4 linked regions of the Caenorhabditis elegans genome follow. The protein of the gene in region 1 purifies or fractionates together with the protein of each later gene. This does not show direct contact. Each region holds a gene or a part of one and is shown on either strand. Other genes may lie near its edges. The genes, in order: smg-6, garr-1, Y48A6B.3 and rsp-3.

Region 1 (5,652 bases):
GTGAACCTCTCAGAACCCGAAAACGCCATCACTCAGCAGACAAACCAAGACTCCTTCAGGAAGGAGTACTGGAGAGTTGGGCTTACAACGTTCGAACGTGCGGTTTTACCCGGCTCCCTCACACTTAGCGAGGGTCGAAGACATGCGGCACCCAACAACGACCGCCCAAAATTCACCGATAACCCAGGAAGCTCCCGAAGGCTTGTACCACACTATGTACCACATACAAAATATTTGAGAAAGGATGAAAACTGAGAAAAGACGAAAAAACTTATTGCTCACCCTAATACTTATTTTAATTTCTAACATCGCTGATAACGTCTAACATTCTAAAAAACCTCCACAGCGAACCCCTTCCATTCCCACGGTCCTCTTCTTCTCCGCCAAAGGTCATACTCATCTTCCCATAGTCCGCAATTACACCCCCTCCCCCCTCGACGCACAATTGCGTACCCCACCCTCCTCTCAGCGTCTCCAGCCGTCATCCCTTTTCTCTGCCCAATTCATATCACACATTTTCTCTTTCTCTCTTCCCATTCACTCTTTTCTTTTCGTTCCCTGTTTTTTTGTTACAATGCACGTGTGTGTTTATACTGCTCTCTGAGGGAGAAAAAATCAGTAAATATATCATTTCTGTGAGGTCCGTTTTTTTTTAGTCCAAATAGGCTGTAGTAGGCTGAAAAAGCTTACTTTAATTACTATATTAATCGAAAAAGAACGTAAATTGACAACATTTATTGCTCAAATTTGAAAAATTGCTGCATTTTTGAGCATTGTAATTAATTACAACACACATATATATATATAATTTTAAAAAATGACGAAATTTAATTTTTGAGCAAAAAGAATTGTCAAATTTCGTTTTAGTAGTACTTTTGTACTTTTGTTTAAAATCCCAATTAGAAACGTTACTTTGAAAACTACCATATTCTTGAATTTTTTATTTCAAATTTCGGTTATAAACGCTATTTAATTCCCAATTTCCAATGAGCCTCTACTAGAGTCTTCCCCAATTAGAAATCGATACCGAAAATTCCATTGTTACCCCCCATGTACTTTCCCATGTCTCTATTTGATGGGTGGCTAATCAAACAATTACCCCTTCCCTCCCCCCACCCCGCCGACGTGTATGTTCTGTTTAGCTTAACAGAAGGTACCCGCTCCACCAGTGATAAGAATTGTTTCACTGTGTTGTATGTGTTTGCATTTCGGAACAGGAAAACGTTTGGTGGTGGGGGGACATAAAAGTTACATAAAACTTTTTTTTTGTTACTTTGCGAAAATCGAAATAAAAGTAGCGATCTTGTGATATCGGAGAAATTTAGGGTTTACTAGTATTCTTGGGAGGGAAAATCTCAAAAAATCCGAATTTCCAGACCCAAAAGGCCCTTAATTTATATAAAGTATGGTTTTCAGAACTTAATAGCTTGGTTTTAACTATTCATATTAGTTTCAGCCTAAAAATATGACATTTTTTAAAGTTTTAACCAAAAAGTTTCTCGTCGAACCTATGAGTTTTCCCACGTGGTGTGGTAGGTTGTAACGGTGTGATCTACAAAAATGCGGGAATTTTTTTCCCCAAAAAATGTGATGTCAGCACAGTGTTAACCATGCGAAATCAGTTGAGAAGTCTGCGGCTAAATTCGCGCATTTTTTGTAGATCTACGTAGATCAAACCGATATGGGGCATTCTGACATCACACCAATTTTCAGCTTTTTCCTGGATTTCTAGGTACAAAATTGAAGTTTTCAACGCTTTTTTGGAGATTCCCACGGATTTTTAGCTATTTTCAACGGCGGTTTTCGGTTTTCCAACACCCACAGCTTTAGAAAATGCAAAATCCCGTCTAAAATCTAGAGGAATGACGAATTTTTGCGAAAAAATCTGTTTATCCTCTGCTCATCCCCTCGTAAAGCCCGCTGTCAACACCTTTTCTTAATTAAATTTTTTTGCTCCAACTCCGTTCTCACGTGGTGCCAGGCTGTCCCATTACGGTTTGATCTACAAAAAAATGCGGTTTTTTTTGCCCAGAAAAATGTGAAACCATACAAAATCAGTTGAGAACTCTGCGCCTCTTCTCCCGCATTTTTTGTAGATCTACGTAGATCAAGCCGAAATGAGACACTTTGACACCGCGTGCTTTCTCTTCAATTATAGCTTTTTCTCCTGAACTTTTGCAGTTTTATAGCGTAGGTAGGCAGGCAGGTAGGCATGCCTGAATCTGTATTTTCCTTTTTTTGTATGTTACATGCTTCTCTTTTATGATATATCTCAAAATTCCAAATTTCCAGCTCACCAAGCAAAATGAACGGAGACACAGACGCCTCGTCATCTAGGACGGGAGCTCCACGAAAACCGCGCCCAGAAATTCAAATCTACCGTCCAGGAATGCTCCGCCAGGGAGGGAGCACGAAAAGCTTGAGCTCTACGAACGAAGAAGCACGACCACCACGCCCGGAGAAGTTGAACACAACAACGACGACGATGTCGGGCAATTCCAGACGAAGAAGCAACGATACGGACAGTGTGACGTCACGTGGTGGATCTGGAAGTACGACGCCCGATGCAAATGTGATTAATGCCATGAATGAGCGAGGTGGAGGAAGGAATCGATTTGAGAAAGGCTATCGACAACAACAGAGAACAGATGGGCCATCGAATTATGTAAGTTTTTATCTTATCGCTCAAAAACCAAAAGTTCTACCCTAACACTACAGAAAAAAACTGAAATTACCTAAAACCCTCAAAAAATTTTGGAAAAATTCATTATCTAGCACGGGGAAACGGTGTCAGAGTGCCTCATTTTGACGTGATCTTCGTGGATCTACAAAAAATGCGGGAGTTGAGACGCAGAGTTCTCAACTAATTTTGCATGGTTAAGAACGTGCTGGCGCCACATTTTTGGTAATAAAAATTCCCGTATTTTTCGTAGATCAAACCGTGATGGGACATCCTGACACCACCCTCAGCAAATTTTGAAAAACTAATATTTTAGCATGATAAAAGCCCCAAATTCAGCTGAAAATGTCTCAAAATACCTTAAAAGCACTAGAAAACGACTTGAATTAACGGAAAATCTTAAAATCTATGGCAAAACTGATATTTTTACGGGAAAAGCCAAAAATTTTCAGTAAATCTCTCGAAACCCAAAGTCTTCACTATGAAGTAGCTGAAATTGACTGAAAACCCTCAAAAATTGTTTAAAAACTCATTATTAGCACGAGAAAATACCTTAGTTGGCTGAAAATCCCCAAAAACGCCAAAAATCCAAATATTTAACTCTAAAGCCACTGTGGAACGGCTGAAGGTAACTCAAAATCCTCAAAATTTGAGAAATCACGTGGTATCAAGTTGCCCCATAACGGTTTGATCTACAAAAATGCGGGAATTTTTTGGCCAAAAAATGTGACGCCAGCACGTTCTTAACAATGCGAAATCAAATGAGAACTCTGCGTCTCTTTTCCCGCAATTTTTGTAGAACTACGTAGATCAAGCCAAAATTGGAGACTCTGACACCACGTGAGATCACGTATTTTGGCTCTGGAATTTAGCTGGAAAAGGTCTCAAATTCTCATGAAACCCGACTGAACCCAACTTCAAACTGGCTGAAAACTTATATTTTGTCTCGAAGACTCCAGGAAAAAAGCTAAGAATTGCTCAAGATTGAACTCAAATCCCCAGAACTAGACAAAAGTCTGAAATTGACTGAAAAGTTGCACACCCCTACAAATGTCCCAAATCCCACGAAAACCATTCCAATTCCAGAATTCCACACAATCCCTCTACGACACACGGCAACATGGTGGCTATATGGAGTACCAGGGCAACCACCGATCGAATCACCGGAATAATGGGAGATACAGTAACCAGCAGCATCAGCAGCATCGGCAACCGTTCGAACGACCCGGCGGAAATCATTATGTAGGTTATCAGGTTTTCTTAATGGAAGTGTCTGGGGGGGAGAAGGGGTGAATTAATTAGAATTAATGGGATGTGTGGGATGTGAAGTGATCAGTAAGGTATGATGGGAATATGGAAACTTTAGGAAAAAAGAAATTTTGGGGAAAAAGAGATAAATCGCTCAAATTCTAGTCTAAAACTGTAAAACTTAGTAGAAATTGTACCAAACAGCTGAGAAAAGCTTTAGAAATTAGCCCACTTCAAGAAAATTCACGTCTAGTACAGAAAGCTAGAGATTTTATCAATCTGGACAGTTTTCCATACAAATTCGAGGTTTTTACTGGTGAAAACTGTCAGAATTTGAGAAATTTGACAATCTGAACTTAGAATTACGTTTAATACCGCCTTAAGAAGGCATGATACCGTTTCGAATTGTAAAACTCTGAACAACCTTAGAAAATTGTCCGTTCTCGAAAAAAAACATAAATTTTTGCGGAAATCACCATTGAGTACGATAGTCAAGTACGCAAACACGACGCGCATTTACAAAATTGCGTATCAAATATTTTTTGAGCTAAAGCTTTTTTTGTTCAAACAACCAAACTTTTAAAGCTAAATCTTTTCAATTTCCAGACCCGCGGCTTCAACGAGCGAGCTTCCATGCGCGGGGACGGCGCCATCGCCCGACGTCCTCAAGGATCCCGTCGCCAACGCAACGATTCCATCAACTCTACCCAATCAGAAATGCCACCTCAAACCGGTGCTCAACTTCACATTGACACCTCATTCGACTCGGCATCTCAGTGTGGAGCCTCATCGAATTTCTCGATGAATTCCCTTGGCGAGGCGTTCAGTTTCGAGGAAATGTGCCAGAACCTGCAGAATTTCGCGTCGATGGATTGGAGTAAAGAGGTGGAAAATGAGTTTGCAATGCAGAAAGAGCAGGAGGAAGAGGAAGAGCGACGGATGGAGCAGAAGCTTCAAGAAGCTGCTGCTCAGGAAGCTCAGAAAGCGGCGTCTCCGAGGAGAAATAACCGAAGGAATAATCGAAGAGGTGGAGGCAACAGTCGGTACCATCCCGATGAATCCGACAGAGAAAGCTCGTTCGGTGGAAGTATCGCCGAGGAAAAAGAGGAAGAAGAAGCCGAGGAAGAGCTCAAAAGTGGTGAGAGAACTCCGACTTCTGTGCGAAGCGGCAACTCTTATAATCCACGTGTTCTGTACCAGAGAACACGTGGAGCCAACGACGAGAACCATCCGAAACGAAGAGACGCCGCCGTGGAGAAGAAGCCGAAAGAGCCGAGACGGTACCGCGGTGAGCATGACGATCGGGATGATGATGCTTCGGAGTATCATGGAACGCTGGAGAACCATATGTCGTCGGGACGTCTTGCTGGGAGAATTCAGATTGTGCAGCGCTCGCAGAATGGGACGGAAGCCGGGGGAAATCGTGAGTTTTTTTGGGAATTTTGGAAATTTTTCAGCCAGTTTCAGTGTAAAAAATAGAGGAATAATCACGGAAAAGCTGAAAAAATCGATAAAATTCTGCGTTTTATCAGTGGAACGCACTTGCATTGTCCTCTATTTTGAATGTCTTTTATTTATCGAAATAGTAGAATTTGGATAAAAATTCTGATTTTATCTACACAAGTGCGGTTTAGCACAAAAAATTGAATTTTTTTTAAATAAAAAGTGCAAACGCGCCCCACTGTGAAAAATCGATAATTTCAAGAAAAATTGAATTTTCTGCG
Region 2 (4,084 bases), on another chromosome or scaffold:
CTCTGCAAAACGGAGCCATTAATTCGAGACTCGGCGGATGATGATCAGTCATATCGAAGCAAATAACATTTCCATCGAAGTTATCCGCATCGTAGTAGTATCCACCGCGCAGGTTAAACACCTTCACGTTGCCCTTTCCGTGCCGCCTGGTCAGAAATTGTTGAGTTTGAACTTTTGAGTTACGGAAATTCGCTTCGATTCCTGTTGCTGGATAACCGATAGCTATGATTCGGTCTGTGATATCTGAAAGTTTTGAAAATTGAAATGCTTTGAACTCAAGAGAAGTGCCTTACATGCACAATCTAGGTCGATATTTTGGTACTCGGTGCGACAACGATTGGAAGATACAGCCGTCCGAAAAATATGGCGAATCCGCTCGACGATTGAATTGTGATACGGTTCAGACACACGTGGTTCACCAGGTTGTCGGTTTGGATTCTCTTGAAGGTCACGAGCCATCGACCTGGTCGATGTGCTTGGCACATCTGGAGGAGGAGTAACCATTGGGGGTTAGTAGATGTACCTGGAAACTGCAAATTCATGAAGAGGAACGAATTAGAAGAGAATTTCAGCGAATTTTATAATTTAAACATTGTCAGGTGAAGTGTGATAGAATAGAATGCCAAATGAGCGCAAAGGATTAAGGGATTAACTAGCTCATGCTAAAGCTCAGATTTGTTCACGCAGAGAGCTCAGACCCGAGAGATACGAGAGGAGCAGAAAGACAGACTACATTTCCTCGTTAAGAATGAGCTGAAAAAGAGCTAGAAATCCGTTGAAAATCGCCAATATGCGTATTTTCGACTTAAAAAAAACAAGACTGATTTATTAGAAAATAATACCCGCCAGCGCCAATAGTAGAAGATCATATGAAATCATTTGATCAAAAAAGCAAAATTTTGGTCTACTGATTTATGAGCATTTTCAACCAAGAAATAGGAAGATTTCGGATATTTTTATAACCTACGTGTGGAAAATGTTTATTTGTATTGAAAAATCAAGAAAAAATGAATAAAAATTGTCGAAAAAGCAGATAAACACCGAAAAAGATCGGTTTCGCGGCGAAAAAACAAAATCCAAAAAATGTCTCTTAAAGGCGCACGCTAATTCAAACGGCACGGGTCTCGCCACGAACGCCTCTCTTCTCACTGCATTTTTCTCTTCTCTTCGATTTTTTTTTCGATATTTTTTAACGTTTTCCAATAGTTTTTATTGATTTTCTTGTTTAAAAACTGGCAAAAAACGAAATAATCGTTATTTATAAGTTGTATTTAGAGTCTAAAGTTTGTATAGTGCGATGAAATTCTTCGAAATAGGCGAAAATCAATTTCTTGTGATTTTCTTAATTTTCTCATATTTAGAAAATTGAAATTTCTGTGAATATTATGTACAAGAAAACCCCTTTTTGTTTTGCAATACCAATTTTTTCTATTGAATTTCTCAACAAATATATTTTTATGTCCAGTTTGATTTTATTTTGCACTTGAATAACTTTAAAGTTCAAAAATTGTTTGACATTTCAGAAATGAGTTTCCGTGGTGGACGTGGAGGCGGTGGTGGATTTCGAGGTGGTCGTGGTGGCGGTGGAGGCGGTGGATTCCGTGGAGGTCGCGGCGGTGACAGAGGTGGTGGCTTCCGTGGAGGACGCGGTGGATTCGGAGGGGGCGGCCGTGGAGGTTACGATCAGGGACCACCAGAGGAAGTTGTGCTCGTCGGTGTCTTCTCCCATCAGTGCCAAGATGATATTGTTTGCAACAATACGAGTGGAAAAATCCCATATTTCAATGCTCCAATTTACTTCAAGAATAAGGAACAAGTCGGAAAAATCGACGAGATTTTTGGATCCCCCGGGGAGAACGTAAGTAATCTCTTAATTGAAAATTAATCATAAATTTATTCGCTGCAGGGATTCTCCGTCACATTGTCACAAGGAGTAAAAGCCTCTTCATTCGAACCAGAGTCTCAGCTGTACATTGATCCCGGAAAGCTTTTACCAGTTGATCGTTTCCTTCCACAAGCCGGCGGAGGGCGTGGAAGAGGTGGTCGCGGACGCGGTGGGGATCGTGGAGGACGTGGCAGTGACCGTGGAGGTCGTGGAGGCTTTGGAAGAGGCGGCGGCGGTGGATTCAGAGGCGGGGATCGCGGAGGTTTTGGCGGTGGTCGTGGAGGATTCCGAGGCGGAGACCGTGGAGGGTTCCGTGGTGGCCGTGGAGGAGACTTCGGAGGTCGCGGACGTGGAGACTTCAAACGATCATACGATGGTGGAAGTTTCGGAGGACAGAATAATAAGAGAACTAAATTCGAATAATTGTTTCTTCTCTAAAAAACTGTATGTTCCAATTGTTTTCATCCTTTTTTTTTACCAATTGTTGATTTTCTTTGTTTTCCTTTTCTCATCTGCCCTCATTTTTTGATCACTTTTTTGTTGAACTTGTTGGTATTTTATACACATTATAATAATCATATAATTTAGTTATTTTATTTCACTAATCACACAGCGCTCTGAGGCAAGCATTTTTGGCGAATAAAATTTGGAGTTCGCATTTAAGCGCGCTTTGATATATCGTTCTTATAACATTTTTTAATCGCCGCAACCAAGTTCCAGCCATTAATTTGACAGATTACACTGGAAAATTATATATTTAGCTTGAGAACAAAATCTAGAAAGTAGTAAAGTAGCAATTAGCAATTGAAATTTTGCAATACAGGTTAACTTTTGAAATTTGAAATTTTAACAGAATAGAGCTCTCAATCAAAACGGCTGAAGATAAAAATAATTCTGAGCGATTTTCATTGTTCTAATCTCAGCAGTGTACATACTGTACCACGCCACAAAAGGCGGGGCCTAAATATGAGGTTTTCTGCAGTACACGCCACGCAGTTTTCTTATTTTGAGTGTATTGCGCAACATACTTGACGCGCAAAATATCTCGTAGCCAAAACTACAGTAACTCTTAGAAGGACTACTGCAGTAGCTACTGTAGCTTTTGTGTCGATTTACGGGCTCAATTTATTATGGTGCGTCCATAGTCTGCGGAAAACGAAAATTTCCCGCGACCCGAGGCGTCCATAGTATGCGGAAAAATTGAGCGAGTTTCTCGCTTCGTTATTGGTCAATTTCAAAAGTGGCCGTGCCCAACCAATTAGAGGCTGTAAAATTTTGAGCTGAACAATGGGAAAGTGGAAAAACTGCAGGCCACGCCTACTTTTTTGAATTTTGAGGAAAACAATGCGTGGAAACTCCGTTTTTTCCCTGCACTATAGACGCCTCGGACCGCGGGAAATTCCCGTTTTCCTGAGACTATGGACGCACCATTAAATGATTTAAAAAATTAATTGATCTACTTGTTCGATAATCAATGATAAATCAGCCAGATACTGAATTTTTTCAGTAAAATGTTCTTTAAAACTTTTTGAAAGTAACAATTATTTCAGTATTTTATTATTTCTTCCAAATTCCATCTAAAAAATTTGAACAATCGCGGAATTTTGTCCCATTCGGTAAGTGTGCAAGCGCGCTCTAACGCACTCTTTGAAGTTTCATTCTCCAAAAATCCTTGCCCCAGAGCGCTGTGTAAAATCTTTAGTTTAGTTATTTGAAATCCTTCATTGGCCTTTGCATTTCACGAAAAGTTGATCCAACGTTGGACATTGGAATCCCTGCACAGCAATGAGGTCATAGAATCCACCAAGAGAGTCCTGAAGACCTCGAATAATGGCTCCGAAGGTGTCCGGTTGGAAGAGCGCTTGACAAAGGTCATCATTAAAAAGGGGGCATGCCTCACCAAGCGCTGCCTTTACGGTTGCCAACATTGGATTCTCAAGAATGTCTGAATGGATAATATTTGGATTTCCAGAGAATAACAAACGATCTTACTATAGTTTATATACTTGAGAACATCGTAAACCAAGAAGCATAATGTGCATTGAGTATTGCTAACATCTTCACTGATCACCATGGCTTTGAAGTTGCTAGAACATTTCTCAACTGCAGTGGAGATCGCATTCCAGGATTTTTCAAAATTTTCAGGCGTTTTCTGGATTTCCGAATGTAACGTGAAAATGATCTGTAAACGTTTAGTAT
Region 3 (3,930 bases), 8.5 Mb from region 1:
CACTTCTTAGTTAGTAAAATCTAAACTTCATTGAAAAAAATCAACAAAAATCAGTGTAAAACATGCGAAAAAGGAAGGAAACCCCGTGCCGCAGGGTTGCGAATTTAAGCTCCGCCTCTTTTTCTGTGCGATACACTACTTGGGTTCTCAGTTTGGGTCTCGCCACGATTTCGGCCCATATCTAATGTTTAAAAAAAAATTTTGCTCGAAAATCGCTTTAAAATAAGAAAAAAGAGGGAAATTTGTTTTTTGAGTAAAAAACCGAGAATTTCAGTTGAAATTTAGTGAAAATCAGTCTAAAATCAATGTTTTTCCGATGTTTCCACAAGAAATCAGGAATTTTGACGACTTTTCTGCAAAAAACCTTAAAATCGGCCATTTTTATGCGAAATTTCATAAGAATTTTCGCAAAAAAACCTAATTTTCTGCTAAAAAAAAGGTTTTTCCCACATTTGTAAGCAGAAATTCTTAATTTTTTCGTGGCGAGACCCACAATCCAGGCAAAATCCAACCAATTCAGGTTCCAGCGGCCTCAGCTTCTTTTTCGGCAGCAGCGCCGAGAACCGCTTCTTGTAAACCTTATCGCCGATACTGATGATGTCACATTTGGCGAATCTGCAATATTTTCTGTCGGTTTTCAGAGCAACGAAAAGCTGCTCTACCGTAATCCGACAGCCATCACTTTGGCGGTGACGATGGCTCCGTGGAATGGGAGAAGCTCATTGTCGAGCTGATCTTCGCTGCGGCGAACTTCGATCACTTGCACCAGGTTGTCGGATTTCTGCAGAAAAAACGGAAATTTTCGGGCTCCACGCTTGCGATTTGTGCGAAAATTACATCTCTGAATCCATAAACGTTGACAAAACCGGCTACCGACGCGAAGATCCTTCGATTCGCCTCGTATAATCCCTTCCCCATTCGATATTCACCAATCGCGTCGAGAACCTTGTCGCCGGGCGCCACAAGCGTTTCGGCGAGCATTTTCTGAGCTGAAAGTGGTTTAGAACGGGATTTGCTGTGATTTAGATTGATTTCGAGTAACAAAATTGAGTTTTGGAAATTACCGAGAAAGGATTAAAGAATAAAAAGAAAAAGTCTGTAGATAACAACAATTTAATGAGTGAACAATTGTGGATAAAGATGGTGATACAGATCAAGAAATTTTAAAAAATCAACAACAAAAAAAAAACAGTGAAAACCAGAGAAAAAACAATTTAGGCGGCCTCGACGGTGAGATGACGGAGAGCCTCGGCGACCTCGTCGTACAGCTCCTTGAAGTCCCCACTCGGCTTGACGAAGATCAGAATCGACGGGCGACGATGTCCGACGGCGAGTCCGAGCTGCTCACGAGATGGAATGTAGACGTATGGGATCTCCTTCTCCTCGCAGATTCCCGGAATATGTGAGTACACATCGATTGGAGAGACGTTTCCTGAAAAATTGAACGTTTTAAGGGAAAAATAGATTAAAATCCTACCAGCAAGAATGCAGATTCCCTTCTCGTTTCTGCGGAGCTCCTTCTGCACGTCCTTGATGCCCTCACGGAGGGTTTTATCGCCGGCGGAGGCCTTCTTGATGAGCTTGTACACCTTCTTGGCCAACTTGCGGTTTGCTAGTGGCTGAGCGATTGGGTTTACCTGAAAATAAGACATTTTTCATTAAAAAACCAGCGAAATTAATGATTTACCAGCTCGCAAAGTGCCTGGTACTCGTCCTTCTCGGTGGTTGGTGCGGTGGCGTCTCCATTGGCTTCTGATACGGTCGACTCGTTCATTGTCTCGTCCAGATTGCGCTTGCCCATTTTTTGATTCTGAAAATTCATAAGTTAATCGTGTAAATTAGCCGCAAAGTTCAATTAGCTTTAGGAAAAGAAAAACAATGAAAATGGGATTTTTGCAACAAAAAATCGATAAAAATCCTATTATGGGTGATTACATAGGAATTTTACGATATTTCATGGCTTAAAATTGATAAATATTATATTTCCGAATTTTAAAATTTAATTTTATCGAAAAAAATCGGAGAAAACCCGCAGAAAACTTCGAAAAATACAATAATTATGTGAAAATGCGTCAAAAGAGAAAAAAGAGAAATCGAATCGAAATGTGCAGTGGAGCGCGTTCGCCCACATCCCAGAGAGTGGAGACGCAGACAATTCGTTGGCGGGAATTCAAATTAGAGATTTTCAGGGAAATTCGTTTTGTTGAATTTTCAACTGTTCCTGACTCCGATTTTTGCAAGTTTTGCAGCCTCTCCGCTTCCCCGAAACGCTCAAACTTCAATTTTTACGAGTTATCATCAAAATCGCAACTAAAATATAACAATTTTATGTCCCCGAACCCCCCACCCGCCCCCTACACGGTACTATAAAAGCCAACTTCTTCCAGAATTCAAGCATCAGAAGCATCTTCTTCTTCTTCATCATCATCATGAACGTCTACTCTGTCTGCGTCTTCGCCATCTTGGCTATTTCTTCAGTTTCTGGAATCTTCTTGCCACAAGGAGGAAAGAAGTGCGGAGGAAGCAGTGGATACGGAAGCGGAGTCATCATCGGTGCACCACGTCCACAATAATTTTTGTGCAGTTTCTGTTGATTACTGATAAATATTGAACATTCAAACTCTGTTTTTTGGGCTTATAATCTTGTTAATCGCGCCGCAGGCCTTTCAGTTTTTAGGGCTTAGGCTTAGGCTTAGACTGAGGCTTAGGCCTAGGCTAATTCCTAGGCTTAGGCTTAGATGGAAAATCTATGACCTAATAAAATGGGACTTTGAAGTAGAAAGTTTGAAAAAAAAAAATCCCAAATTGGAGTTAATCTACGGGACTCTAAAGAAGTGCGAGACAAAATTAAAAAATTTCAAATTTATTTTTCTAGTCCAAAATGCTCCTACATATTGAGCAGTTTTCTGTTAGGTAGTTGAGGCTAGGTAGGCAGGCACGGTTTCAGGGCCTCACGAGAGGCAGGCGGAGGCCGCCTTAAGGTCAGGCAGGCAGGCGTTTTGGAACCCCTAACATTAACAATTCGACTTGCGTTGTATGATTTGAGTGTATTTGCAAACTTATATTTTCCGTGCAAATGATCACAAGGTTTTTAAGCATCGAAGCATACATCTTTGATGCTCCCGCTCCCGGAACTAACTTTATCGATGTGGGTGGAATAAAAGCCTTCCGATCACAAACCTTTTCCTCACTTCGGTTCTTCAAATGAACATTTATTGCGTTTTAGTGTTTGCTGTACTCTCCATCTTGTCGGTTGTTGGAAAACCTCGAGCTAACCATATTCGACCTGCCTCAGACCGACATATCATCATGGGATTCGACCTACCATCCAAGTTTGGATAATTCAAACTGAAGCAATTAATTTATGAATAAAAGTTGAACATTGTCTTGAAAATCTTGTTATGAAATTTGGGATAATCTGGTAATTTAGAACCATATGATTTTCCAGCACTTTTGAATTTTTGAAAAATACAGCTTTTATATATTTCTATCAATTTTTTAAAATACTTGCGGACAAGCTAGTATACTTTTTTTGGTATTTTCTGGTATATTTGGCAATGCTAAACAGTTTTATAAAATAAAAAAGAAGCGCTTCATATGATTTTATAGTACTTTTGAATTTTTGAAAAATACAGCATTTACATTGACATACCAAAAAATAGATTGACATACCAAAAAATAGATTGACATACCAAAAAATAGATTGACATACCAAAAAATAGATTGGCATACCAAAAAATAGATTGGCATACCAAAAAATAGATTGGCATACCAAAAAATAGATTGACATACCAAAAAATAGATTGGCATACCAAAAAATAGATTGGCATACCAAAAAATAGATTGACATACCAAAAAATAGATTGACATACCAAAAAATAGATTGGCATACCAAAAAATAGATTGACATACCAAAAAATAGATTGGCAT
Region 4 (4,307 bases), about 10 Mb from region 1:
TTTTTAAAAATATCCAACTACACCACTTTTAAATTGTTAGTAAAAAAAACTATTAGATCATTTAAATATAAATTTTTTAATCTCAAATTTTCGAATTAAAAAAAATAAAAATATAGAGACGCATTTTTTTAAATTAAAAATGAATTTTTGTTGCTCGAAAATGTCGAAAAAATAGTCCCAAAAACTTAAAAATCACACTATTTTTGAACTTTTAAATAAATTTACACTTTAAAAAATTCCGCAGCAACGCATTTTTTTTCTTCAATTTTTCCGATTTTTTTAATCAAAAAAAATTCTGATAATAAGCACACTAACATGGACATCAAGTACTTAATATCGCCAATCAAATCAGCTTCATCTCCATTCTGCCGTGCTCCATCACAAGCTCCCCTCACTGGTTCATCCAACAACCATAACATCAATCCAAGACAAGCTATTCCAATAATCGGAGAAAATCGAACACCCCATTGCCATGAATCTGTTGCCTGTGAAATACTTGACCCAGAAATGAATCCGAGACCACTTCCAACTGGAATTGCAAAATAGAACATCATCAGTACTCGACTTCTGAGGCCACCACTGAATAGGTCTGATAGGACGGTTGGAGCGATTGTGGAGTACGAGGCTTCTCCGATTCCAACAATTCCGCGGCACAGGAGAAACAGGTAGTAGTGCTAAAATTATTTAAAAATTAAAAAAAAATCAATTTTTTAGGGTAAAAAAACGCATTATTCACGAAAAATTGTCCCAAAAATCACCATTTTTTGCCCATTTTTCATTGAAAAAGTTTCTCAATTATCGCCTTTTGCATGTTTTTTTTTCCATTTTTTTCAGGTTTTTTAAAGCTAAAATTATGGCTCAGGGCCTGCGTGAAATCAAAGAGCATAAGGCGCAGATTGAGGCAGGCGAAGGTCACCTTGAGGTCAGGCAGGCAGGCGTTTCAACGCCTACCTGGAAGCCCTATCTTAAATGGCCGGAAATCAGTATTTTTTGGATTTTTCAAAAAAATTGAAAAAAAAACTCCATTTTTTCTGATTTTTGGACATTTTCCGCTTTTTTAAGAATATTTTTCACAAAAATCAATTTTTTGGAGAAAAAACGCATTATTCACTTGAGGGATTTTTCAAAAAAATTGCAAAAAAATTTTTTTTTTTTTTTTTAGTTTTTTCTCAGAATTTTGGACATTTTCCGCTTTTTTAAAGAATATTTTTCACAAAAATCCAAATTTGTGTTCTTTTTTTGGTGAAAAATGCATTAATTGCCCCAAAAAACTCAGATTTAAATTTTTTTTCTTCAAAATTTTGAAGCACTTTTTTTTTTGATATTCCAAAAAATATCTTAGAATTTTGGTAATTTTTCCGCTTTTTATAGGAATTTTTTTACAAAAATATTCTTTTTTTTCTCTTTTTATTCGATTTTCGCGGCAAAATATTCAGAATTTGTGTATTTCCAGTGAAAATTTGCCACAAAATAGCATTTTTCGCATGATTTTTGCAAAAATTGCCAAAAAAAGCGTTATAAACGTCATTTTTTATCTTCTCTCTTCTCGGTGTCATTATTCCATTATTGGATTGACCTCTAGAGCCTTCCCATCGGGCTCATTGACCTCCAGACCGCGATTTTCCCGCGTTTTTGGCTCCGCCTTTTGATCTACCACTGGAAGTGGGCTCAGACTGTCTTAGTAATTTATTCCAACATTATTTCCTTTCTATTATCGTTTTTTTCCCTTTTCCCTTACCCCTTCCCCACAAAAAGACGATGCAAAGACTGCTAAAATCCATATGCAAATTCCAGTGATCATTAGCATTTTTCGATTGTATCGATCACCCAAATATCCGAATAATGGCGCGAAAAACATGTAGAACACAATGAAAACTGTCTGAAATTATTCGGTTTTTAATTAATATTCCACAATTTTATTCAATTTTTACTTGCAAAAGGCCTTGCCCCTTATCGTCGATATCGAAAAATGTTGCAAGCCGCGACATAACTCCCACGATTGTGTATCGATCCATGTAGTTTAGCAGGTTTACGAGAAGCAGAATGGAACAAGTAACCCATTTCTTCTTTCCAGCAAGTCGGGAGGCTGAAAAAATCAAGTTTTTCGATTTAAATAATTAAATTTTCGATTAAAAACTCACCAACGTCCAAACCACTGCCTTCCTCAATTTCATTTGGCATTTAGAATTTCTGAAATTTATTATTTTTTCTTATTTTCTAATAAAAAACCGAAAACCACAAAAAATAAAAAAATACGTGACTAAAAATAACGCAGGCGCGCTCCACCGAACTCGTTCAAACTTGGCGGGAGAATGCTCATATGACGCGTTGCGGTCGCGTCGCGGTCGTTATTTTTTCGAAAACGAAGGCCGTGGCACACTCATTTCTTGTTTTTTCAGACAATTTTTATTATTTTTTCGAAGAAATGCTTGAGAATATTCATTTTTCTAAATTTTACTCGATTCTGGGTTTCTTTTCAGTCAAGTAAATGCAGTAATTTGAAGGATTTTAGGCCCAGTATTTTTTTTATTATCAATAATCTTCAGTCGCCGATTTTTTGCAAATAATCATAATTATTTCTTCATTTTCAGTGTACTAAACATGCCACGCGGCGGCTCAGAGGACCAAAAAGTCTACGTTGGCAACCTGCCAGGAGACGTCCGAGAGAAGGAAGTCGAGGACATTTTCCACAAGTATGGCCGCATCAAGTACGTCGATATCAAGTCAGGACGTGGACCGGCGTTCGCTTTCGTCGAGTTCGAAGATCACAGGTTCGTTTATTGATTTCAAATACTTTAATTAATCAATTTTATTCCAGAGATGCCGAGGATGCGGTTCGTGCTCGCGATGGCTACGAATTCGATGGCCGTCGCATTCGCGTCGAGTTCACTCGTGGAGTCGGACCACGTGGCCCAGGCGGTCGCCCACTCCAAGACGGAGGTGATCACCGCGGTGGAGACTTCCGAGGAGGACGTGGTGGTGGTCGTGGAGGTGGACCTCAGAGAAGAACCGGATACCGAGTGATCGTTGAAGGTCTTCCACCAACCGGGTCGTGGCAGGATCTTAAGGATCATATGCGTGATGCTGGAGACGTCTGCTATGCGGATGTGGCTCGAGATGGAACTGGAGTCGTCGAGTTTACTCGTTACGAGGATGTCAAGTACGCTGTTCGCAAGCTTGATGACACCAAGTTCAGATCACATGAGGTGAGTTTTTACTATTTTTGAAACTATAAAATAAATCAAAAATTGAATTAAATTTTTCTTTTTCAGGGTGAAACTGCCTACATTCGCGTTCGTGAGGACAACTCTTCTGGAGGCGGAAGCGGTGGTGGTGGCCGTGATCGTAGCCGTTCGCGCTCTCCAAGAGCCGAACGTCGTGCTTCGCCAAAGTACTCACCTCGTCGTTCTCGTTCCCGCTCTCGCAGCCGTTCCCGCTCTCGTTCTCGCTCGGCCAGTCGCAGTCCATCTCGCTCACCATCTCCACAATAAAGAGACAGCGTCTGATTCTTGAAACGGTATCGTTTTGCAATTTGAGTCGTCTGACAGAGAGTTCTGATACAACTATATCTTGCTAATTTCTTTTTTTTTGTGCTGTTTCTAATACAATTCCATGCCTCATGTTCTCCTGTTTACACACACCTTTTTCTTTTTATCGATCTTTTTGGATATATATATCCACAATTTCTTCTATTTTTTATCACCTATCCTTAATTCAAACAACCACATCCAAGTATTCATCAGCCCCACCTATTATTATTCAATAATTTCTTTTGTTGGAGGAACCACGAATAAAATGTTTTGTTTCAGCCTCCACTCCGCTTCATTCAAACTATTGGAGGAAAGGAGGAGGACTCTATAAGGAGGGAAACTAAAGGATCGCTGGACGATCAAAAGCGGGGACACACCATATCGATCGAGGATCGAATCGGTTTTTACACGATTTTCGAATCGACACACACACACACACACACACACTAGGACCCCCGGAAAAAGGATTTTATGGGAAAAGTTTTGGATTTGCCCCCTGGGTATTGTTAGGAACATAATTTAGTTAAATTTTGACCTGACGAGAGTAAAAAGAAGGAAAAATTTTACAGTTTTGGGTTCGAAAACCCCGAAATCTATTAGGAAAATCCCCTCGAATATGAGAAAAAACTAATCCGCCATGTTCAGGTGAGCCGGTGACCCGCTTCCCGGCTCACAAAAATGAATCAGCCAGGTGAGTTTCGACTTGGAATTTCGAATAAAAATTTTGAATTTTTGACTTGTGTTTTTACTTTTTTAAATTATTATTGAAAACAGAAA

The links.
Region 2: the proteins of smg-6 (region 1) and garr-1 fractionate together in Caenorhabditis elegans (co-fractionation; one large-scale study listed by BioGRID). This does not show direct contact.
Region 3: the proteins of smg-6 (region 1) and Y48A6B.3 fractionate together in Caenorhabditis elegans (co-fractionation; one large-scale study listed by BioGRID). This does not show direct contact.
Region 4: the proteins of smg-6 (region 1) and rsp-3 fractionate together in Caenorhabditis elegans (co-fractionation; one large-scale study listed by BioGRID). This does not show direct contact.

The regions. Positions count from the first base shown.
Region 1 is NC_003281.10:2,471,576-2,477,227, forward strand, and holds the start of smg-6 (PIN domain-containing protein), read left to right. Parts: upstream 1-2,292; 5' UTR 2,293-2,305; coding exon 2,306-2,665; intron 2,666-3,766; coding exon 3,767-3,922; intron 3,923-4,534; coding exon 4,535-5,351; intron 5,352-5,652.
Region 2 is NC_003282.8:424,645-428,728, forward strand, and holds garr-1 (putative H/ACA ribonucleoprotein complex subunit 1-like protein), read left to right. Parts: upstream 1-1,523; 5' UTR 1,524-1,525; coding exon 1,526-1,858; intron 1,859-1,906; coding exon 1,907-2,308; 3' UTR 2,309-2,560; downstream 2,561-4,084. Other genes in the region: Phosphatidylinositol 3,4,5-trisphosphate 3-phosphatase and dual-specificity protein phosphatase daf-18, read right to left, coding at 1-243, 294-504; Y66H1A.5 (Saposin B-type domain-containing protein), read right to left, coding at 3,607-3,830, 3,878-4,067. UniProt on the Caenorhabditis elegans protein: Required for ribosome biogenesis. Part of a complex which catalyzes pseudouridylation of rRNA. This involves the isomerization of uridine such that the ribose is subsequently attached to C5, instead of the normal N1.
Region 3 is NC_003281.10:11,006,102-11,010,031, reverse strand, and holds Y48A6B.3 (Putative H/ACA ribonucleoprotein complex subunit 2-like protein), read right to left. Parts: upstream 1,811-3,930; 5' UTR 1,802-1,810; coding exon 1,688-1,801; intron 1,638-1,687; coding exon 1,478-1,637; intron 1,433-1,477; coding exon 1,215-1,432; 3' UTR 1,103-1,214; downstream 1-1,102. Other genes in the region: exos-1 (Exosome complex component CSL4 homolog), read right to left, coding at 513-615, 663-781, 838-981; fipr-17 (FIP (Fungus-Induced Protein) Related), read left to right, coding at 2,430-2,573. UniProt on the Caenorhabditis elegans protein: Required for ribosome biogenesis. Part of a complex which catalyzes pseudouridylation of rRNA. This involves the isomerization of uridine such that the ribose is subsequently attached to C5, instead of the normal N1.
Region 4 is NC_003281.10:12,686,201-12,690,507, reverse strand, and holds rsp-3 (putative splicing factor, arginine/serine-rich 3), read left to right. Parts: upstream 1-2,591; 5' UTR 2,592-2,601; coding exon 2,602-2,771; intron 2,772-2,818; coding exon 2,819-3,206; intron 3,207-3,272; coding exon 3,273-3,491; 3' UTR 3,492-3,807; downstream 3,808-4,307. Other genes in the region: spin-4 (Major facilitator superfamily (MFS) profile domain-containing protein), read right to left, coding at 316-674, 1,739-1,879, 1,932-2,086, 2,142-2,181. UniProt on the Caenorhabditis elegans protein: Plays an essential role in embryogenesis.